Schizosaccharomyces pombe: one gene and its partners. Each later gene encodes a partner of the first gene's protein in a complex. Each region holds a gene or a part of one and is shown on either strand. Other genes may lie near its edges. The genes, in order: fyv4, mrps8, mrp4 and rsm25.

Region 1 (7,815 bases):
CTGGAAATCTCGAAGCAGTGTTAGGATGGGTTGGTTTAGAAAGAAGAAATGCCCCCAATTACGATTTAACCAACGCACATGCAGTTTTGCGGAGTATAATAAATGAAGGAAAATGTAATACAGGCATTACTGAAGTATTAATTACGGAGGACATCAAACTAGTTTGGAAAATTGAAGGGGACATTGAACTTGCAAGGAATATGTTTTTACAAAATGCACCAGCTTTATTGGATTGCCGTCATTTTTGGATATCTTTTCTTCGGTTTGAGTTAGAGCAGCCTTTAAGTAAGTAGTTGTTTTGTGTTTTACACTCAATTATACATCAATGTACATTGTGGCTTACATATTTTCCAGACAGCAAAAACTATACTGAACATCACGCCCGTGTCTCTAATGTAATGGAAATGATTAGAAATAAAACAAGGTTACCGCCAAGGACGATAATGGATCTTACAAAGCTATACATGGAATATCTTTGCCACCAATCCAACGATCCTTCAGTTTTACAGGAATACTTATTAATTGATCGAGATGTCTTTGGGCCTTTTAGTGTACGGGAATCCCACTGGAAAAAGCTCGATGAAGGACAAGATTTGAAACAGGTTAGTACTAGGCTTTTAAGCACTAACGGTCACCCTGGTATTTCTGTGAATGAAGCAAAAATCAAGTCTGGTGAATCTCCATATGAGAAATATTACCGTCTTCAGGGTGTTGTTGAGACAGTAACATCTGGTGTTGCTGCCAATGGGTCTTCATAATCTACGACTTCTCATTAAAAAGAAATTTTCATAGTCAAATTATCAATGCTATATCTCGTTGCATTTCCTACTTCTTAAAAAGCAGTTTGTTTAGGGAAAGGAGTACTCAAACGCACCTTAATGTCATTGTAAAGTCATTGCTAGACTGCATGGGTATACAAATCTTAAAATTATTTGTACATGAATAACAAATTATCTAAAGGAGCTAGAGAAGAGACGTAAATGTTTTAAACTTTCATTAAAACAATATGTAAAAACCCATCAATGTAACAGAAATCTCGATTGAGCTCGTCTAAAACGCTCTGAAGAAAAATTGTAATACCATGAATAACTGGTTTAACTATTAAGAATTTATCACATGATGGAAACAAGTCGGGAAGGCGTTTATTGAGAAACTCACCAAGAGAACTACCAAGAGGTGCAGAAGTTTGTATAATAGGAGCATTGGCCCCTAAATAAATTTTTAAAGGAATGAATTTGGATTTTGAAAAAAGTATTTTTATAGCAATGGGACGGAAATCATAGTAATCATGATTGAGTATTGCATTCCAGTAGGTGTCTGTTTCTGCCTTTGAAAGAGCGATTATTCCAGACGAACTTCCGTTACGAACGTAATCAGACTGTAAAAAGTTAATATGGATTTACCCCTTTTGTAAATAAATCATATATGTTTTTGTGATAGAGAACGCACCTCTTTTAAGCAGTTGAAAAAATATGTTCGAAAAGTATCCATGGTTTCCATTTGAAGTATTTTGGTTGTAGGAAATAGACCTGAGCGCAATTGAATGCGCCATAGCACCGGCGCTCGAGGAGTATCCGGATCAAACACTGTTAACAAATCGAAAAGTAAGCCAACAGGCCAATGCCTATATTATGATTAATTTACGGAAAGTTACTTTGGGTAAACGATACCATTTAAGAGGAACCCCATTATAATCCAACCAACATTCTGATAAAGGGATTGAAGGTGCCAACAGACGTTGAACATTTGGGAGTATTTGAGCAAAATATGATTGTCGCGGGACGTTAGCCTTAGGTAGAATATGGTGAGCAAAAAGGAAAAAATAAATTGAGTTAAAGAATATTAAATTACTACTTGAGTGAACAAATCACATACTAGATAGGCCAGAGAATTACCTTCATAATCAATGCGCACAGAAATAGTGCCATTCCAAAGGAGCTCTGGAATATTGCCTTTATTATTATCGACATTCATTTTTAAAAAACATCTCCAATACTGTGATTAGAAATTGTGCTTTTGTTGTATACTTAACAAACTCGTGGGTGGTTGGAATGCGTTGATAAATAGCTTAGAGTCAGACATTCACTATAATTAGTTAAATTAATGTTTTTACAATTAAAGTAAGTGGGCTTTAAATACACATAGTAGAGTCTTCAAAAAATTCACCCGAAAATATAACTGGTAATTTATATGTTCAAAATACGAGTTCCTGCTATACAAAAACCGCAATTAGGAATTTGTAGATTCACTGTATTGATTAGTTAATAGACACGTAATGACTTTTCGGAAGTAGAAGTTTGAGATATTCAAGGGACTTGAAAGTTTGCATGCAGTAAATCTCATAAAAGAATTAAAAGCAAGGATTTATATAGCTAATAATTGCAGGCACTAAGCTTGACATGGTCGCACTATGAGTCGCTAGTACGTTTGTGAGACTTTCGCATACGTTCCAGAAACTGTACACAACTTATTTAAACAACCAAATATTTTTAAAACAATACTGGTAAATATGTTGATCTTGAAGAGGATTTTCATTATAAGAAATTTTATATTTCCTTTTTCTAACTGCCGGTATGCCTCTACTGTTCCTAGTCCAAGATCAGGTATGAGATTTCAAAACATTAGTGCAATTTAAATTCCTAACAAGATTCAGGGATTTCTAATACAAATGATTTCTTTAAAAGAATTGGAAGAGATACTGCAGAAAAAGTGAACGGAAAATTCGAGTCTTGGGATGGTCTATTTAGGAAAAGTACAAAAACTATGAAAAAGGAAGGTATTGATGTACGTACAAGGAAATACATTGCAAGCCAAAGAAACCGATTTAAAGAAGGGTTTATAGTTAAGCCATATCCAGTTATGGTTAAAAAGAATGGAGGTGAGCGACGCAAACGTAAATAATAAGTATATGGAATATTATATTCTTTTGAGACATTCTTTCTTCTTTTTGTAGTTGAGTTTTTGCTTGAGTTCGAATTAATCTAAAATTTGCTTAAAATAGCCAACACTGTTCAAAGCATGTCTTTTCTCGACGAAGATGTGGAGCCTAGAACGCAAAGCCGATTAAACAATTGTCCATGAAACCATTTAGCAAATTCTGGAGAATTTTCCATTAGTGCGGAATTGGCGCTAGGGTATTGTCTCCCTCTTTCCAAGTTATTTTCATTTGTTTCGTTCACGGGCTTCCATTCCCACTCTCCTGCCCAGATTAATTTAGCTTCAATTTTTTCTCTAGTCCTAATATATAAAAAATTTTCTTTTAGCTCCATTAAGTCTACACCATCGCTAAATTCCTTTAGGACTGATGTATACTCAATAACTTGTTGATCATTGCCGGATACCATCCAAACTATACGTATAGTTGGTATTTCTATTTAATGGTTATAAATTTTTAACTTCAGCTGCACCTTAAATCGTTTGTTAGCAGATTCTTTTTGAGTATGTGTGCAAAGGTATTCGTTTGCGTTTGCGTCAAAGGGCTTGGTCAATTAGATGAGCCAACTGTGGTAAATTTTTATGTTAGGTTGATATCAATATGAACAGCAAATTTACTCTAAATGTGTACTTAAAGGCATAAGGAATATTTATACTATGTCATTAATCTTCTAGTACTAATCTTGGGCATTCGTTTCTTTTGGCATGGAAATTCGCTGTCGCGTTATCACAAGCCCTGGAGAACTAATTTCTTTGACCGCATTAGTTGTGTTGAGTGATTCCTCATCATTTTTGCCTATTTTTTTTAACTCTAAACTTTCATGCTCAGTGAATACATCATCGAAATCTTTTGCATCCTGGATGGATCGTTTAATTCTTTTATCGCGGATTTGCATGTAACTAACAATACAAGAGCTAACAAAGACTATTCCTCCTACCACCAGCAAACCAATTAATCCTTTTATAAATCGAGGCGTATCAGTATTGGGATACATTATAGGTGCCCACCAAATATGCCAGATATTCTGACACATATTCATCAAAAACACAACAACTCCTCTTTCCTGATCATTATCCCGGCAAATGTCATTTGCCCAAGAAAACCAAACTGCTTGTCCAGCATATGTACAACCAGAAGCGAAATAAGCAAAGAATTTTGCGCCATCTGGCACGTTCCATGCTAGAAGTATTGTAGCAGAAACAGTAGTAATTACGCACAGAAAAAGTCCAAAAGGCCATCTTGGGTTTCCAGCTAATTTATCAGAAATAACACTAGCACCTAACGTTGATACTACGCCAACAGCTGTAATCACAGTTGGGTAATTATTTATTTGGGCAACAGAAAATTTGTTGCTCCATTTCATCCACTGACCCATCAATACATTGACAGCTATAGCTTGTGTTTCTCCGCTAAAAATCCAAAGGATGCACAAACCGTAAATTCGCCATGAACGTACAATATCCTTTATCGCTTTTAGCGTTAATGGCTTCTTCTTGGGGCGAGCGGGTAGCCTTTTGAAACTTAATTCTTTTTCTTGTTCTGTAAAATAAGGAGCCTTGGTTGTTTCTGGAACGTCAGGAAACAGAAAGAGCCCATATAATGAAAGAGGAATCGTCAAAATGCCATCAATTATAAAAAGCCAACGCCAACCAGATAAACCACCTTTACCATTTAATGATGAATGAACTGCTGTTTGCAAATACCCAGCAAACATTGTGCCGACTAAACCAGAGGCTGAAAAAATTCCGGCACGTTTGCATAGTTCACTTTCTTTGTACCATGCGCCCAATATATAATGCGTACCAGCAAATGTAGATGCCTCCGCAACCGCCATGAAAAAGCGTAAAATCATCAATGCTCGAACGGAATGTACCGCAAATGAAAAAATCGTCATAAGTCCCCATAAAATATTCATAACCGAAAACCAAAGTCTTGCTGGTACTCTCTGTAATGCATAAGAACCTGGCAATTGTCCTATAATGTATCCACATGTAAAAACAACGTTTATATCTTGCAATTCATTACCATGCATTTTCAAATCCTCTTGCATACCACTAAGGTATGCATTGTTTATTGATGATCTATCCAAGTAATTAATAAAATATGAAACGCAACAGTAAGAAAGTATGAACCAATCTATTTTTATTAAAAGCTTTTGTTCAACTTTGTTTAATCCATAATAAGGGGAAAAGGTTTTTGCCAACCTATTTAGTAACGCCATTACGACTTGTCTCACTTATGAAATATTCACGACAATTTACAGAGGAGACCTAACTTAAATTTTTATGGCTTTAGAAAACGTACAATTTCAATGGATTCTCATGAAAAGTGCCTATATTAAAGTAAAGCCAGGGACCTAAGCAAGGAACAAACACTTCGAGTCAAAATCGAATTGCAGACTGTTGGAATATCAATATGCTCCAGCCAGGAAAATTTTTTCTTTAATTTTTCTGAAAAATCAAGATTATAAGTATCGATCGAGCCTTCTAAAAAGTGACAATATCAATGCCGGAAACCCAATCTTAATTTTTAGATGTGCGCTGATTACTCGGAATTGGCTAGCAAGTTGGATACTTATTCTCGACGTAGCCACAATGAGTACTATACTTTGCTGCTCTATTTGTGGAAATTAACTGTATTGCAAAAAACATCTAACCTTTCAATTAATAAGCATTCGGTTCAAGTGGCTACAATACAATAACCACTATTTGCGAGATTAAACATACTATTACAGTAACCAACACATTTGAAATGTAAAAAATTGCCATAGTTGAAGCTATTCAGCGTCAGCGAACATCTTCGGAGAGCTCAAATAATCTTAGCTCTTAAGATGGGGGTTTTTTCTGCCGAATACTGTATCTGTTTGACTTTTATTTTTAATACGTTGGAGTAACCGCTGTATTCTTGTGCAACTTGGTGTTTTTGAAATTAACAATGGCACTGTTGATGAACGAAAGTGAATTATAATACATTTTTTGACAGTACCAATCTTATGGAAGTGCCTTGAAATCCTGTTACGTTACGTTTTAGCAAGATCGCTTCTCTTATGATTTTCTTGTTTCAATGGTTTTCTACCCATAATCAATGAAATATGTTTACAAGGGTTACGAGTTTTGTAAAGCAAATGCACTTTAAAAATTGACCAGAAACTTCCATATATTAGAACCAAAATTTTTTGGAATACATTTTAACATAGTAAATTAAAATAAGCCGTTTACTTATTCTAATTTACAGAAGCGCTTCTATAATGTTTAAGTAACGAACGTTTTTGTCACCCAACACCACCCAACTTCGTATCCCAAGATTTATAACTTGTTCGGACAAACATCGTTGGTAAAGACTTGCATCGTTCATTACAGAACGAATTTTATTATTTATAGTTCACATTTGTGAATCTTAAGATGCAATGTCTGCTGAGGGAAAAGCCAAGATCCTTGGCCTTAGTCAATAAGGACCATGCTCTTATGTTTCATTCGGTTCCTCAGAACAAAAACTCTTTATCAGTATGTGTTGCAGAATTTACGGCATTGTCAGAAAAGCCGTTAGAAGGATTTCGAAAAATCTCCAGTCATCGAATTTATGGTACTCTAGGTCTGATTGAATTAGAAGGGTCCAATTTTTTGTGCGTGATTAGTGGAGCTAGTGAGGTAGCACGTGTGCGAGATAAAGAAAGAGTTTTTCGTATCATGGAGGTCTGCTTTTACAGTGTTAATCGTTCAAACTGGGATCACATTCGACAAGAAAATTACTCGCCTGATATTCCGGATGGTTACGATACCGATACCCAAGGCTATGATTCTTACAAGTATGCCGCTGAACCATTCAGTAGTCTCAGAAAGCTATTAACAAATGGATCATTTTACTTTTCTCTCGATTTTGACATTACTACCCGACTGCAACTTCGTACGTCTCAAACAATGACGGAGCCTCAATATGATAGCATGCATACTCAATTTATGTGGAACGAATTTATGCTTAGACAGTTGATCAAATTTCGCTCCCATTTGAATGGGGATGAAAAGAGTGCATTGGATGGATGTCGCTTCTTTACATGTGCCATCAGAGGTTTTGCGAGCACCGAACAATTTAAGTTAGGAATTCAGACTATTCGGCTTTCTTTAATATCTAGACTGTCTTCGCTTCGCGCTGGTACCCGATTCTTGTCACGTGGCGTAGATGATGATGGAAACGTTGCTAACTTTGTTGAGACGGAGACAATCCTCGATTCCTCTAAATACTGTGTAAGCTATTGTCAGGTCCGTGGCAGTATTCCAATTTTTTGGGAACAAGAAGGTGTTCAAATGTTTGGTCAAAAAATTGATATAACTCGCTCTTTAGAAGCAACTCGAGCTGCTTTTGAAAAACACTTTACCAGTCTTATTGAAGAATACGGACCAGTGCACATAATCAATCTTTTAGGGACAGGTTCGGGAGAACGCAGTTTATCTGAGCGTCTGAGACAGCATATTCAACTTTCTCCGGAAAAAGATTTAATACATTTAACGGAGTTTGACTATCATTCTCAAATTAGATCCTTTGAAGATGCCAATAAAATACGCCCAATGATTTATAGCGATGCAGAAACTTTCGGGTTTTATTTTGAGAACAACGAAGGACAATCCATTGTGGTACAAGATGGTGTTTTTCGCACCAATTGTTTGGATTGCTTAGACCGAACAAATGTTATTCAGAATCTTGTTTCAAGAGTGTTTTTAGAACAAGTTATGATATATACTCGGCAAAATGCTGGTTATGATTTTTGGCAAGTTCATTCAACGATTTGGGCAAATAATGGTGATGCCTTAGCTCGCATTTACACCGGAACAGGAGCACTTAAATCTAGTTTCACTAGAAAGGGAAAGTTAAGTATAGCGGGTGCA
Region 2 (5,108 bases), on another chromosome or scaffold:
AACCCTCCATAACCGGGACGTAAAGCTATTTCTGAGCTTGGTTTATACGACATCCTACTCACTCTGAATCATAAAGGACGAGTTGGCTGAAGACAATTCGCTTTGGCGGTTGGAAGCTTATATATACCAAACCCTAGATTAGGACTCATCATAGTTGTCTTGTATATAAAACCTACTTGAGTTATAAACTATATTAAATCAAAAAACTATCAAGAAAATATTTTATTTATCACTTTGTTATTTACATGCTTAATACATTCGAATTTTCTATATACTAAGGTCTATTTCTATACTTCTCTGAGCACGCAAACGCAACATAAGTCTTATTTAATTTCTGAACATAAGAAATATAAGCTTATCTTTAACAGCTTTTCTTAAATTACCGCATAATTTTGTATAGGTTTATGTTTTTTTAAAGGTTCCAAATCGACGGATTTTTGAGTTTTAACCCTTCTTTCTTTATATCGTGGTTGTGATTCAATAAAAGTGAACCCAATTGTTATTTGTAACCATTGACGAAAATTATAGTACATTGAATTACTATTTGTTTACTAGTTCTATATTAACAATACCGGGAGGTTCAAAATCAATGATTACTACTTGTTTTCTTTTTCTTGTTATATTTGCTTGCTTGAAATCCTCTTTATAGTTATAATACATTTTTACAACCTGCTTTTGAGAATATTAATCTGGCAACTTTCAAGTAAATGATTTCGGTAATTGCACTGATTTTTGAAAAGTGTTGATTTCGAACGTCTTTCAAATTAAAACGGACATTTTTTTATGAAATTAAAATGCCTTGTGCTTTGTGTAATACTCGTTAAACAGCTTACCGAAACTAACAACCTTTTTAAGAAGCGAAACTTAATTAAATCAATATATTATACTGAGTAAATCAGTAATTTCTGGACGATCGGCCACATAAAGAAGCATTATAAATCGTTCTCCATACTGTTAGGCTTTTGTTTTCAATTCACGTTTTCTTTTCTGTAATTAAAATATCAGTAAAGAATTCGTTATGCCATTATTTTATAAAAAATTTTTATAATCCTATACAATTGTGAATTTACATTGTATTCAAATGCTTTTTTACATCCCTATATTTTACAGGCGTTCGCTGTTGTACCGCTTGTTTTTTTGAACACTGCTTATTATAATTTTTTCGATTATTACATTTGCGAATACCTTTCGAGGATTTTGGAACTACTAAACGCACAAAAATTCGCTTCCCACTTCTGACAACTTTGTGGGTTTCATGGTAATTTGAATGCTATAATATTAACAGATTGACACAGCGATTTAGATCCATATTTTATTCTGTACAAAGTAAATCTCTAACATTTGGTAGACGGCTTTTGCCGTAATAACCGTTGGTTTTGCAATTTTGCGCCTTGTTTTCCAAACATAGTAAACCGGTGCTTTTAGTTTATTATATAGTGATTTATTGTGAACTTTAGTATCGTGTCGTTAATATACTACTATCCAGTGATTACTGCAATGTCCATTAACTTGCTAATAGTGTGTAACACTAGCTACACCGTTCACTACTTACTATTCTTCCAGTACAGAGAGAGGTATTTGGAAGTGACTAGCTAAACTGCATTCATACCTCTTTTCTTTCCTCAAAACACCATTCTGTATAGAAAAAAAAGGCTTTTATTGTTGGACTGCTTATAAAAGATTAGGATTGTGTTAAAAAAGTCGAAATGCAATTGCATTATGTTTTTTCGCATTTGCAAAATTCATTTCGCGCTCGCAAGTCGTTAGCAAGCGTTCCTAACTGTAACAGTGTGCTCGAGTTATGTGCTGTTTTGTATCATCAAGGATTTTTAAGCTCGATTCAACGCGGAGATATTCATGGACCCGATGCTTTACCCACAATCACCACTAGGCAAAATGTAGCGACCCGCCGTCTATGGTTGGGTTTAAAGTACTTTGAGGGAAAACCGGTTCTTCACTACATACGTGCAGTATCAAAGCCTAGTAGAAAGGTGAACTTGACTCCTTCTGAGTTGTTGCAATTTGCCAAAGGAAGGAAAGTTAGCTTTGTGAATGGGTTGGAGCCTGCAGAAGTTGGAATTGTAGAAACTAAACATGGTATAATGAGTATTGACGATGCAATTAAGAATAATTTGGGAGGAAACGTTATATGTCGAGTTAAATGAGGCTTCGATGGAAAAAGTTATTATTACGTACAACTTCTTTCCGGATACATTGTCTCCTTTCTCTATGTTAATAAGAGAATAAACATTACTCATTTGTTTTGAAAATTGAAGCAATATCTAACAGGCTGGTTAGATTTAAACTAATATGTTTAAGTTTTCCTTCTCTTCAGCTAAGGATCAATGGCAGAATTCCTTTTAAATCTCCCACTCCTTTCATAATAGTTTGTGAATTGAGATACTGCATATTTACACATCCCATTCATTAAAAAACATAGTCTTAATTCCCATTCCGCCAAAACATAAATCCTTTTGTTTTACTATTATTCGACTTGTGATTTACGAATAAATGTTTTTTTACACCTGAATTTATCCCGTCTCCTTTTGTCAACTCACAATATTCCATATGCTTAAAATTATACCCGCAGAAGCTTTTTTGGAATAGAAAAAATATTTGTGTTACTCTAGTAATGTAATGATAAACATGTTTAAAATACATAAGGAAAATCGTTTTATAAAATATATAATCGATGGAGATTGTATGCGACTTCTAAAGCATTGTGTAAATTAAATAAGGTTGATTAAGTACATAGGAAGTATTTACAAATGTATAATCTGTGAATGACAAGGATATGTATTTGTCAATACTGCATTTGAAAAATATATTATAAAACCATTATTAAGAATACAATTTATTTAGATCTATAATGACTATGGATAACAACTAGTCGCAATGGTGTAGTTGGGAGCATGACAGACTGAAGATCTGTTGGTCATCGGTTCGATCCCGGTTTGTGACACTTTTTATCAGCAATTACAGCTTTGTAAATAAAGCATTTAACACAATGAATTTTGTGCCAACGCTGAGTAGGAATAATATCTTTCTCTACATACTCTTTAACTGGGCAATCCTGGTAATGTATTTGAGTAATTAAGCAGTATTGAGTCTGTTTTCATCGGCATTGTTATTTAGTAAAATGATTGATTGATGAATGTACACTCTTTCGTTAATTGCAAGAATTTATGCTGTGATAAACAATCATTTGCGCCTTGGATTTTAAGTAGGCTAAGATTTATTTTAAATACTAATGATGTTGTAAATATAAAAAGGACGGGACTCTTTTTAAGAAATATAACTAAATAACACGTGGAAATGACAAAAAACTTGGGTAGTTATTTTCAGAATTGTTCAAGCAAAGCTCAAATTTCTTTCTTTATATATTTATTATTTTCACATGTTCAAGATTTTATTGTCAGAAGCAAATGGCTTTAGTCCACAGTAAATTTAAATAACCAAAAAAATTCATTATTCCTATTAACCGATCTTTATTAACAATATTTTCTCTTCATTCCATACATGGTCGATTGTCCTGCTGCAGCTCAAATCACTATTTCAATTTCATAGCACAGAGCCAACTAACCTTACTCAATGATCCACTAAACAATATTTCGTCTCTTAAACAACAAATAGTCATCTTGATTTGCATTTAATTCAATTGATAATATAGACTTATACATTTATACCTTCCACACGGCTTTGCTGAATTGAGGATATTATAAAACTTTAACCGAATTTGCCAAATATGGAAGAGGAATTCCTCTCATTTAAAAATTTTTTACAGGAGGATCAAGATAAGAGGGAGAAAATTATTCGTCTTTCTCGTGAAATCACAATTCAAAGTAAACGAATGATCTTTCTTTTACATCAAACATCCTCTTCTGATGGATTTCCTCTACCCAAGGATTTCGACAGAACATCCATTTTTGAAAAAAAAATTCACAAAGAACTAGAAAGTCTGAAGAGAGAGTTGGCTGGATTAAATGCAGACAAGTTCTCTTCTGCTTGTACACACGGCCTTCAAGAGTATGTTGAAGCTGTCACTTTCAAATTCTGGTTACAAACAGGTACGTTACTTTCTTGTAAAGATAGTAGCTTTAGAATTTCTATTAATTTCATCGACTATGTACTCGGTGTTTGTGACATGACTGGTGAAATAATGAGATTCCTTGTAACCAACGGCTCTAAGTTCTCTGTCCAACAACTCACTCAGCAAGTTAAATTTCTTCGTGGACTACACAAAAACTGCTCAGAAATTGAACACTTACCATCTAAGGTCAAGTCAGAATTACAGCAGAAATTATCAGTAATGGAGAACAGCATTTCAAAAGTTGAAGGAATTTGCTATAGTAAAATTTTAAGAGAAGCAGATAAAAGATATTTAAATTTGGAAGTGGATACAGCAACTCCTCCCGAGGAGAAACGATTACGGTCCACATAATATATGATCGACAGCTCTCGACAGACACCTTACTAGTTTATTAAAAGTTTTTCTGTTTTGCAGCTTTTGAAAATCATAATTATTAAGTACATATTTTCGACGATTCAATTATCTTATCAAAAGCTTCCGCTGCTTTCTATATGTTAGAGTTTCCATAAGCTAGGATGTTTGTACAATATAAAGTTCATTTAATAAGAGAGATTTCAACCTAATTCCATCATTTTGAAAACAAATTGTATTTCAATATTTCGCCATATGAAACCACACGTAAAATTAATCATGATGCATCAGTTTCCAAAAGCACTTGACGTTAGCAAAATCTCGCATTTTCCAATAATGACAATCCCACCTGGAATCACGAACAACAAAGGATACTTTTGTTCTGCACAAGAAGGATCATATGAAATTTGCGACAGACCTAGAGTGACCGTACCCATTGTACTCGTATCAGCAGCTGCGGTAAAACTATACGACAATGGTCCATGAACACCTAGCCAAATTTGTAATCCGACCGAATAGCCTCCAATTTTAAATTGTAATGAGCGCGAGCTCTCCAAATATTCGGGTGGCTCTTCAATATATGGATAATCAGTAACCGTTGGTACAGGATTTTGATTGAATGGTAACATCATCGTACAGTCAAAATGTGATATGCCCACTATAGTCC
Region 3 (5,325 bases), on another chromosome or scaffold:
TTTTGCATCCGGTTTCCTTATAATAGTTGTTTAATTGGTTAAGTCAAAGTAAGTATGCAGGTAAATCATGAATTCTTTATAGTATATGTTCAATGTTGCAATATTATAGTTTATGTTTAGACAATGTCAAGCATAAATAAGCTTAATAATGATAACCAACTTACTGAAGGTGTATATATGTGTCAGTTTTCAAACCAAAACCTTTTTATTTATAACCGTAACCCTAAGTTTTTATGAATAGTATAGTATACGATATACTATATATGTACATAAGAAAATGATGAAAACTCAAATTTCTTCTTTGGAAATGCTCTGTAAAATGGCGCTAGCCATCGCAAGATTAGACTTGAACAGAGCTTTTTTAGAATTATCCACTAAAGGATTTTTCCGAACATAAGTTTTTAAGAACCAATCCACTTTCGATGAAAGGTTTTTCTCTGCTTTGCAGTTTTCAAATATTTTTACGAGTTGTAAATCGTCTTTAACTCCCAAAATTATATCGGTAAAAAAGACCAGTAAAAACGTTTGCATTTGGGCATTAATGGCCATAAAATCCACATGCTAAAATTGAGTTAGTAATTACAATCAAATTTTTAGAATATACGTACTTTGAGGATAGTTAAGGGCTGTGCAGCTTCAATGACTAAAGACGCATAAAGCTTCGCCAAGTTAACTATGCGTCTCATGGATATTTCTCTTTCTTCACTATCATCATCTGGTTGTAGTTCATTAAAGAAATCCCAAAGAGAGAATTGAAATGACTTTTTCAAATTGTGCTGCAATGTACAACATTTTAACGCTACCAAACCATAAAACGGGTTATACAATTTCTCATTACCAACGCAATGCAAAATTACATAAGCTATTTCAGGTAATTGATTCCTTTTGAGATGCAACTTCAGCACTCTTTCCCATGCATCAATGTAGTCCTAAGTTTGTTAGTTTAAAGTTAATGAAATTTAGAACGAATACCTCTGAACCAACAAGGGCAACGAATATCGAAGTTCGAAGAGTTGAATTCAATCTTAACTTCTTAGCAGCTTGTAAAATTTTTGAATGGGCCGTCAGTTCTTCTGATTTTTTCTTATCCTGTAATGCTTCAGTAGATAATGTGTTGTCACCAGATGGAACATTATTCCAAGAAGCTCCAACAAGCCACCATCGACCTTTCGTCTCAATCTGCTCAATATCTTCTAAAGTAACTCGTAAAGGCTCTCTAGCATTTAATGAGCGGTTGCCTAACGAACCCAAAAATTTCTTTAGCTGATTTACAGCTTCAAATTTAGATTGGGCGCTAGCATTGGCAACTTTTGTTTTTTTGTTTTCTTTAAGATTAGTGATCGATTCTACCATAAACTTTGTACGGACAGATATGGTTGATGGATCAGCTGAAGCTAATAACAAATTCATTTCCGTAACAATATCTTGGAGAGACGTCGGGTCATCTGATCGCAACTGCCCTCCACAATTGAGGACAATTTTGAGCAGCATTTCAACGTTCAATTCGGTTAAAGAGCGTAAAAAAAGGCGAATCAAATCATAAACAAGAACACATGAAACAAGTTGAAAATTATACAACTCAACAAAAAATACAATCAAGTTAGAAGTCTCCTTATGGGAAGAAAGAGGTTCTTTCTCTTTTGATTTATAAAGCTGCAAAAAACGTTCCACTAGGGTTTGCAATAGATGAGCACCAAAGTCATTGCCTACAATGCGGTAAAGAGCAGTGGCTAACGCAGCATATACTATGGCCAATTGATCTAGCATAGATTCTCTTCCCATTACGGTTTGTAGTAGCAAATTGGTGATGGTAGACGTGACTGAGTGTCTTGAATTTTCCATGTAAAGGACTTCAATCTCCTTAATAATTGAAGAAATATTTGCGATAGACAATTTGTTTAGCGATCCTTGTAATTTCCGACGAAGTCGCAGAGCATCTTCTGACTCCTTATCTCCCCCTAATTTTTTCCGTAAAGATGGAGGGACATACTTTGAGCCGACGTTCGCATTAGGTAAGGATGGGACTGCAGGCTTCAAAGGATCCATCCGAATCGGCTTAGTTTCAGGTTGATGGAATTCATCAGAATTAGACTCAAACCCATGAAACTCTTCCTCCTCCTCACCCGAATTTCCTTCCCTTTCACTTTCCAACTCATCAACGCTACCATGGTCACCTGTATCGTCTGAAACTTCAGAGTCTTCTGAATGACCATATGAAGGATCTTCAGTGCCCGGAACGCCTATGTCATCAATTTCTTGATCTAGGTCTTCTAAAAGCCATCCAAATTCCTTGTCAATTTTTGAGTGAGCAGATTTATCTTTGCTTTTGATGCCAAGCATCTTTTCTAAATGAGCGATTTCACGATCATCCTCTTCCAAAGCAATCTTATGCTGAAAAGCAATGGGATCGAGTAATTTACTCTCCTTTGCCTGTTTATTCTGTGAAGATTTTTTTTTTGTAGATGACTTTCTGTGAGCATCTAAGTAATCATCATTAAGTTCAGAAGACTTACTATCACCTTCTTCTGTAATCTTCCGGTTTTCATAACCATTTTTTCCTCGAGAGATCCTAGCAAATTTTCTTTTTTCACGATGAGGTAGATTATGATTTCGCTTTCCCCGCCTAGCACTCGAATCTATCAATTTGGTTAAATATACTGACCAAATCTATAAAAAAAAGCTTACCAGATTCTCCTATCTCTTCTAAAATACTTTTGGGCAGTTTTAAGCTTCTGCTTTTTTTAATTGGCCTCATACTATCGAATGTTTAAATATTAAACAAACGATAATTAATACTAAAGCTCAAGAACTACCAAATTTTTCAATTAAACGATACCAAAAACTGGTATAATTGCTTTACAAAGAGAAGAATTGGGCCTCAGTCTCGAGTTGGCGTATCGTTTCAAATGAATTTCACAACACTGCTAATGGAACTGTATACAATATCGCAATTTGTTAATGCTATTTAAAGTTGTCACTCTGCTGCTGTATTTTACATTAACGCTCTATGTAGTATCACACTAATAAAGCATATCGAAGTGGAAATGTTGCAATCGTGCAGCGATTTCAAAGTCTTAAAGTACTACTACACCAAACGGGCTTTCATTTTGCTCGAGTCATTCGTGTCTGTATTATGCTTTCACGGAAATTATCACCGGAGCAACTTGTAGCTCGTCGTTTAAAAATACGTGACTGGAATCACAAAATAGGTGCAGTTGTAGCTCCCCATTATTCACCGACATTATCCATTCGAAATCCGGCACCTCCTAGTCAACTTAGTCTTCCTTTATTGTTGTCTTCTGGTGCTCATTTAGGACACTCTACATCCATATGGAATCCTTACACGCAGCCCTTTATATATGGTAAAAGAGAAGGTATTCACATAATATCATTGGATCAAACCATGGTTTACCTACGAAGAGCTATATCCGTCGTTAGATCAATAGCTAAAGAAAATGGAATTATATTGTTCATTGGCACCAGAAACGGCCAGAAAGATTCTGTCGTTGCTGCTGCCAAACGTGCTAGAGGTTATCACATATTTGATCGTTGGCTACCAGGACTTCTCACCAATGCCAGAGAAGTACAAGGAAAGCTTGGCGGTTCAATTTTATGTAAAGATAATAGAGGGAAATTGATTCAAACTGATAAAAAACCAAGTTATGTCTTTCCTGATTTGATGGTTATACTAAACCCATTAGAAAACAAAAGTGCTTGTCTAGAGGCACAGAAAACTCATGTTCCAACAATTGGAATCATTGATACTGATGCGGATCCAAGGATGGTTACCTATCCTATTCCAGCAAATGATGATTCTTTACGGTGTACAGATTTAATAGCTGGTTTACTGAGTAGGGTAGCTGAGCAAGAGTACCAAAAAGCTAACCAAGCCTTCGAAAAAGATAAATTTACACTTCCTTTATGATTCCCCTCTCATTGTTTTGAAAATGCCTGTATTCTTTGATTTTTCTAAACATGATTAAAGATAAGGTCTGATTAATTTTCACTAGTATTCAATAAAATTAATGATTCGTAAACGAAAGGTTAAAAAGAAAGAATAAATTATTATGGATAACGTATATATCACATTTCAATGATTTGATGCCAAAATTTTTGTTAAAGACAGACATATTTTGCTGTGCGAAAGGAAATCATCGGTATGCTTTCACATTTTCTATAAACTCTTTTTTCAATTGTTGAATAGTCATCTTTCTAGTATCCCTTGAATTATGATTGTGTCTACTAGATACACTGAGAATTTCTTTGTCAACTTCGTCTTCTCCAATGACAATTTCATAATTATAATTTAAAAGTCTTGATTCACGTAGCCGTTTGCCAATAGATTGTGCTTCAGCGTTTATGTCCACATAATAGGTATTTTTATTGAGTGGGAGAAATTCAGATTCATTGACTTCCTGATTAGACAATTCCTTTTGTACTTGCTTAGCATAAGTTAGAATTCGATCTGTTTGATTGACTGGTAAAATGACAGCATGTCTAGGACTTAGCCAAAATGGCCAGTGTCCATTTAAATGCTCGATAAGGATTCCCATAAAGCGCTCTAAGGATCCAAATATAGCACGATGAATCATTACAGGTTGTTTAATGAGTTTCTCAGACCCGGCATTGTCTCCCGCATCTGTGCGATAATATAATTTAAATCGTTGAGGTAAATTAAAATCTAATTGAATAGTTGCCGTTTGATGCCACTTTCCACGAGCATCTGCAACCATTACATCGATCTTAGGACCGTAAAAAGCACCATCTCCTTCATTGATGATCCACGTTTCACCACTTTCTTGTAAAGCCTCTCGCAACCCGTTTTCTGCTTCATTCCATGTATCTAAAGAACCGATATGCTCTTCAGGTCGGGTGCTAAGGTATAGTTTTAGTTTGTTCATTCCCAATAAAGAATAAACTTGCTTCACAAAAGTGAGAGTATTTTTTATCTCGTCTTTTATGCTCTCGGGTGAACAAAAGATATGACCATCATCTTGATGAAAGCATCTTAATCTAGTTAGTCCAGAAAGTGCGCCTGATGCTTCATTCCTATGTAATGGACTGAAATCTGCAAACCGCAAGGGTAATTCTTTGTAAGAACGTTCAGTACTAGCATATACAATACAATGTCCGGGACAATTCATAGGCTTTAATCCATAAGTGGCATTGGAATGCTCATCCTCGACATTACGGCTTTCTTCAACACGAAATATTTCTTTCTCGTAGTTTTGCCAATGACCACTTTTTTCCCATAAGTCCTTTTTAAAAATTAAAGGCGTTATAATCTCTTCAAACCCATGTATTTGATATTGAGCTCGTAGAAAA
Region 4 (5,340 bases), 860 kb from region 1:
CGCAATTGCCCAATAAAATCATGCTCCACCCTGTTCCGCAAGACGAAATAAAACCTCGACCTAAGAAAGGAAGGTAAATGATGGTAATTTTTAGAGTCTACATAGGTGAGATGGTGACCAATCCTGTTGAGGCATGAGTTTGGTTTTTTTGATATGTATCTTAACTTTTTGTTTGGGAAAAAAAGTGGCATTTCGTGATTCATGACTAAAATCAATTACTGGCAATCGTTTAATATTAGAAAAATTTTTCCTTTCCTGACAAAAAGTGTTATGGGTATAGACGCTATCATCTTCTTATCTATGTTGGCTGCTCAATAAATGATGAACTTTTTTTAAAGCACTTTTAAAAGTTTGGAGCGAAAGTTCGCTAGCTGGCTAAACGGCAGTGTCATCTGAAAAGCTTGCTATAGCTTTGAATAATATTTATAATATATATATATGTATTCAAATAGATGGTAGAAATTTAATGTGTTCTGATAGATTGTTTTAATTTGAAGACATAAAGAGATGAAAAATATCTGTTTTATTTTTGAAAGGGGATAGTACTAAGAAAATTCTGAAAAAAAAAAAAACAAAACAAAAATCAATTTTTGAGGAGACAATATGATATATCAGCTGTGAATTTAAATACTACTGAGTCGTCTTAGAGATATCTACACTCGGGTCTGTGAACTTTGTACGATTAGCCTCAGCGTATTGTGAAGCATTATCAAACCAAGAATTTAAAGCATTTTGATCCATTTCATAGCCCAACTCCAGATCAGATTTTGTAAATACAGCACCCAATGCTTGAGCCTGATCATGGGCAACGCGTTGCTGAATTTCTTGTTCAGCGCGTAGGTGATAAAATTCCTTTCTTGCTTGATCATAAGCATTTTCTACAGGCATGTTAGAGTTTTCAATCAGCCATAAAGTTCTTTGCACTACACTCTCGCCAGATAATGCTTTGCGCGGTTGATCCATGTGACTCCAATCACAATATTGCTGATCATTACCGTCATTTTCTGCAATGATTTGAGGCCTTGCTAGTTCCCAAGGATGATCTCGATAAAACCTTTTACGGAGTTTATCTTCTGGCCATTGAATTTCCTGAGGCTGATACATTGATTTTCGTAACCGTTTACCACGGGATTTTACCTTATTTGGATCGTACAATGGTACAATACGTCTAGCATATTGAAAGGTTGGGGGATGTTTAGCAACCGTTTCGTACCATAAAGACTCTGCTGTCCATGGCTTTTTCATTTCAGCTGCAAAGCTGCGTAGCAAACCATTTGCATTAAATTTCGGCATTGGATCTTCCTCCTGAAAAAGTTATTAAATAGTATATTAGTAAAATAATCAGTAATAGAAACGTGAAAATGGAAGTAAGGATTGAATAATGATTGAGATGGGTTAATTATGCAAAACACATCCACGGCGCTATAAATAATGGAGAGTATGACTTGAGGTAATAAACAATCGCTTATATGGATAGTCTGCTAAAAAAGTGAATTATAAGCGCAAGAAACCAACTTTTTTGGTGAAAATGGCTTCCAAGAGGAATTGGGCTGGCCAAGCTAGTGTTAGCTGACGGTACTAGTGTGCCTCATCTTAGTAGCTACTGAGTATAACCTAATGGTAAGATATTATGAATATTTATTTCAGAACACACAAGGATACGAACACTATTAATGAAATAGTTATTTATAAATTTAAACACATCTATTGCCTTTTTTTTGCTAAGATATGGCTTGTTTGTAAATTCGGAATTTAAACTAAGCGATTGTTCATCTAAATTAATTTTATGGATTGAAAGTCCCTATTATTTTTTAGATATTTTTTTTATAATTGCTAAAGGTATATAGAGTTTATTGCCTTTATTTTTTTATATTTTTTTATCAATCGTTAACGCCATAGGAAAGCAAGTTAAACTGCTTAAAAATTTTTTAATACTTAAAAATTTTTTGTTATGGAATAAACTTTTTTTTTTTTATACTTTTAATTTTCACTGATTTCATTAAATATTTACCGGCAGCCGTTAGAATTATTAATAACAATGGTTCAAAAAACTCCAAAAAAATTTTAAGATTAATTAGACAAAATCAATTATATGTTTCGTAAAGCAAATTAAATGGCTGTACTGTATTTGTGAAGCTGTATGCGTATTTGCTAATTTGATTTTGTCATAAACTGACTGAGTAAATTAGCGCAGCAAATGCCGCTACACCTAGCATGTTCTGAAGTGAAAATGAAGTGCTGCAAATATTTAAAGCCATTGATCGTACAGTATTATTATGAATGGACATCAACTACTTGAATTCTTGCCTGCTCATACATTTTTAGCAGTTATTTTCATTTCTTCACTTATAACGCAGTCATATTTATACTCCGTATTTGATTTTACCTGCTAGCTGGCAATCTCAATGCTAGAATACGATATTCGCTTCTGGATGATGAGTGTTATATAACCTAGGTAAGGTTAATCTGTAGCTTATAACGAAGAAGTAAGGTAAATAGACTACACTTGTGTTCTTTGACGAAAGTGTATTCGATGATATTGTAAATGCTGATTAAATACTAATGAGTCAACAAACGTGCCTAAATGCTGGTTGCATTCAATGCCATTCCTATATATGATGATGGCCGATTGATCGTTATTCATTAGCGATTCTTAAGAGGATCGATGAATGATAGTTTAATAGTTTAGAGGGATATTCTGCATTTAATTATATTAAGGGACCTCTTTTTTACTCATGAATGTTCTTTCCATGTTTACACAATAACGAGCTATTATAACAAAATAACGTAAATAAACTATAGCGATGGTTTCCGTTAATTCACTAACGCTGCCTGTTAATGAGGAAATAGCAATCTTAGGTTTTGCTTAGAACCCAACTTCGCAACGTTGGAAGGTTTGCTCAGTTAGCTGTATTTATACCACCTTCTGTTTTTTGGAAACCTTGGATGAAATGTTTAGATGCATTATTGAGCCTTTTCGCACAGTTTAATGTTTGAATTATCGCATCATATAGAAAGGGAACGGAAGTATATGCATCATCTCGTATCGAGTTCTCGTTTTCTTTTTTTATCAAGTACCCCCTTCTCTCATTAATAGTGATCCTTTTAATTTGATTATCGTTTCTTTTCTTCATAACGCGTCTTTTCGTTTCCACGCCTCTCGTTTTGGGGACGACTTTTGTCTGCTTGCCAGGCTAAGAGATGCGAAATTGTGTATCTCCACTACTTTTTGCATGGACAAAACATTTACGTTTAAGGGAATTTAAAATCCCTTTCCCAAATCGTCTTGTTGTGCGGTCACTAAACCAGCTTAGCGTTCATCATGAAAAGGTAACTGGGTGCAGGCCTCGACAAGCGTCTTCTGATGAATTACATAAATACTCGAAATCTGCTTCAAACGAAGCATTTCTCTCAAGTTTTGCAGAAAATCAATTATTTCACAAGTGTTTGCCTTCCAGCGCAGGTGCTGTTCTTAGTGAAAACGATTTAATGTACATTATCCGAAAAGTCAGTGAAGTCTATGCTGATAATAAAACTGAAAAGGTTACTGTGCCTTTTGACAAACATAAAAACCCATTCCTAATTTACGTGAAAAAACGGTTTGCCGAATGTTTTGATAAAAATCCTGATCTTTGCCTCATTGTGTATTCAAAACTGGAGGTTGAAACGTTGGCAAAAATAACTCCCATTTGGATTAATGTCGCCAAAAAAAATAAAAAAGAAGATTTTCTTGTTGAACTCTGCCTCCGTTTTTTAGAACGATTCCGTTCATGCAATTTGACTGAACAAGCAATCTTATATCAAAATTTTCGAGAAAACTGGTGGAGTAACATTAAGTTACCCCAAAATCTCAAAAGTCTGTACGTTGAATTGTGTTTGGTGTATCATTTCCATAATTCCCATCTTGGGATGGATTCCTCTACAGTCTCTAATTTAAAACGCTTCTGCTTCTCAGAGTCATTAGGTCATATATTTGCTCCTTTGAGATTCCAAAATCAACAGCTTCCTTTGCAACACGTTTATGCGTTTTTGTTTTCCATAGCATATCGTGATAACCAAGTTGATACTGCTCATTTTCTTTATAAACAGTGGTCTCGTGCAGGCATGGGACCATTGCCAAAAGATGCATTTATAAAATTTGTACAATTACTCTCAAAAAACCGTAATTGGGTTTTAATGCGCGATATTGTTCAGCTGGAAGAATACAATAGTTATCTTCTCGACCATCGAATAGTTTCGGCATTTCTTAAACCATTATCAGAAAAAGGTAACTACAAAGACATACTGAGTCTGATTTCAGTTTGGCAGCATTCTGTTTGGCGACCTTCATTGGCGTATCTTCAAGTTGTTTATTCTTTTTCCATGCGAGCTCTACTAGTTAACCGTCAATACTCTTCTGCTTTTGCATTTTTCTGGAAAATTGACCCGTATATTCGAAACGAACGTTTAGTGTCTCAAATGTTACAAGCCGCAAGTCAGCTTCATTATCACGATTTAATTTTATACGTTATAAATACCTACTATTCTGGTAACATTATGAAGAATTTGGGCAACAAAGATTTGATTTGTATAACGCAAAGTTCACCTCCTTGTAATATATCTGGAATTAAGCCGGGAAGCTTAAAGTTGTCTCCAACCACCAATACGGTTTTAGCGAAATCGATTTGTTACTGGCTGAACGATGCCATGGCTTTGCTTTTTTTATTAGAGAATCAACTAAATTGCAAGCATTCCCTCTTTCAGAGAAAGTCTCTTATAATCCTCTTGAATGGTATTCTCAATTGCCCTCATTCGTCGTACGACCTTCAATTTCGTGCTGTGTCTCTCCTAACGGGACGTATAAGGCTGAATGTCGATTTTGAGGTCTCGGTTTTGGCGTCCCAACTCGTTTTTTTTGTCAAACATCGAGATTTTAAGCGTACCTTAATTACCATGAAAGCTATATCCAAGTTGCAAAAAAACTTTGACGTTCGAATATGGAACTATTGGCTGGTTGCCCTAATTCAGCAGAAGCTTTATTCTAGAGCCGTTAAAGTGTATTCCAAACTTATTTGTTCTTCCGCAGTACGAAATGATACAACTCGCTCTCTGATTCGACTCATTCCCAAATCGTATTTCAAAAGTTATCCTCTCCTTAAAGAATCAGAGACCGAAAAAAAAACAAATTCTGCACTTTAACTGCGTAATGTTTTTAAAAGTTCAAGCTTTTGTGAATTATTAACTTTTATTATTAATTTCTCCACTCTCTTACAACACCTTGATGTACAACATTTCCTTGGTTGTTGATTTCATGATAATTTGCCAAATGATCCGTTCATTCACTCATTCTGCTCTTTTTTT

Evidence for each region.
Region 2: fyv4 (region 1) and mrps8 share a complex: the UniProt entries of both Schizosaccharomyces pombe proteins name them as parts of the mitochondrial small ribosomal subunit.
Region 3: fyv4 (region 1) and mrp4 share a complex: the UniProt entries of both Schizosaccharomyces pombe proteins name them as parts of the mitochondrial small ribosomal subunit.
Region 4: fyv4 (region 1) and rsm25 share a complex: the UniProt entries of both Schizosaccharomyces pombe proteins name them as parts of the mitochondrial small ribosomal subunit.

Annotation. Positions count from the first base shown.
Region 1 is NC_003423.3:3,431,217-3,439,031, forward strand, and holds fyv4 (mitochondrial 37S ribosomal protein mS41 ), read left to right. Parts: upstream 1-2,451; 5' UTR 2,452-2,509; coding exon 2,510-2,603; exon of another isoform or gene 2,604-2,653; coding exon 2,654-2,901; 3' UTR 2,902-3,011; coding exon of another isoform or gene 3,012-3,344; 3' UTR 3,345-3,611; coding exon of another isoform or gene 3,612-5,156; 3' UTR 5,157-6,292; downstream 6,293-7,815. Other genes in the region: U1 snRNP-associated protein Prp39, read left to right, coding at 1-285, 355-758; autophagy-associated protein Atg5, read right to left, coding at 986-1,378, 1,450-1,624, 1,671-1,789, 1,876-1,974; SPOM_SPBC4B4.12C (uncharacterized protein), read right to left, coding at 3,012-3,344; plasma membrane pantothenate transmembrane transporter Liz1, read right to left, coding at 3,612-5,156; syj1 (inositol-1,4,5-trisphosphate 5-phosphatase 1), read left to right, coding at 6,337-7,815. UniProt on the Schizosaccharomyces pombe protein: Component of the mitochondrial ribosome (mitoribosome), a dedicated translation machinery responsible for the synthesis of mitochondrial genome-encoded proteins, including at least some of the essential transmembrane subunits of the mitochondrial respiratory chain.
Region 2 is NC_003421.2:329,082-334,189, reverse strand, and holds mrps8 (mitochondrial 37S ribosomal protein uS8m), read left to right. Parts: upstream 1-1,623; 5' UTR 1,624-1,706; coding exon 1,707-2,165; 3' UTR 2,166-2,710; downstream 2,711-5,108. Other genes in the region: ago1 (argonaute), read right to left, coding at 1-53; tfx1 (translin family protein), read left to right, coding at 3,746-4,441; DNA-binding transcription factor, CBF1/Su(H)/LAG-1 family Cbf11, read right to left, coding at 4,729-5,108. UniProt on the Schizosaccharomyces pombe protein: Component of the mitochondrial ribosome (mitoribosome), a dedicated translation machinery responsible for the synthesis of mitochondrial genome-encoded proteins, including at least some of the essential transmembrane subunits of the mitochondrial respiratory chain.
Region 3 is NC_003424.3:3,064,018-3,069,342, reverse strand, and holds mrp4 (mitochondrial 37S ribosomal protein uS2m), read left to right. Parts: upstream 1-3,076; 5' UTR 3,077-3,133; coding exon 3,134-3,925; 3' UTR 3,926-4,017; downstream 4,018-5,325. Other genes in the region: sgd1 (ribosome small subunit biogenesis protein), read right to left, coding at 289-561, 609-929, 973-2,636, 2,686-2,755; SPOM_SPAC24C9.09 (threonine--tRNA (Thr) ligase), read right to left, coding at 4,152-5,325. UniProt on the Schizosaccharomyces pombe protein: Component of the mitochondrial ribosome (mitoribosome), a dedicated translation machinery responsible for the synthesis of mitochondrial genome-encoded proteins, including at least some of the essential transmembrane subunits of the mitochondrial respiratory chain.
Region 4 is NC_003423.3:4,290,396-4,295,735, forward strand, and holds rsm25 (mitochondrial 37S ribosomal protein mS23), read right to left. Parts: upstream 1,568-5,340; 5' UTR 1,294-1,567; coding exon 631-1,293; 3' UTR 501-630; downstream 1-500. Other genes in the region: nucleoporin Rae1, read left to right, coding at 1-77; PPR repeat-containing protein Ppr7, read left to right, coding at 3,202-5,178. UniProt on the Schizosaccharomyces pombe protein: Component of the mitochondrial ribosome (mitoribosome), a dedicated translation machinery responsible for the synthesis of mitochondrial genome-encoded proteins, including at least some of the essential transmembrane subunits of the mitochondrial respiratory chain.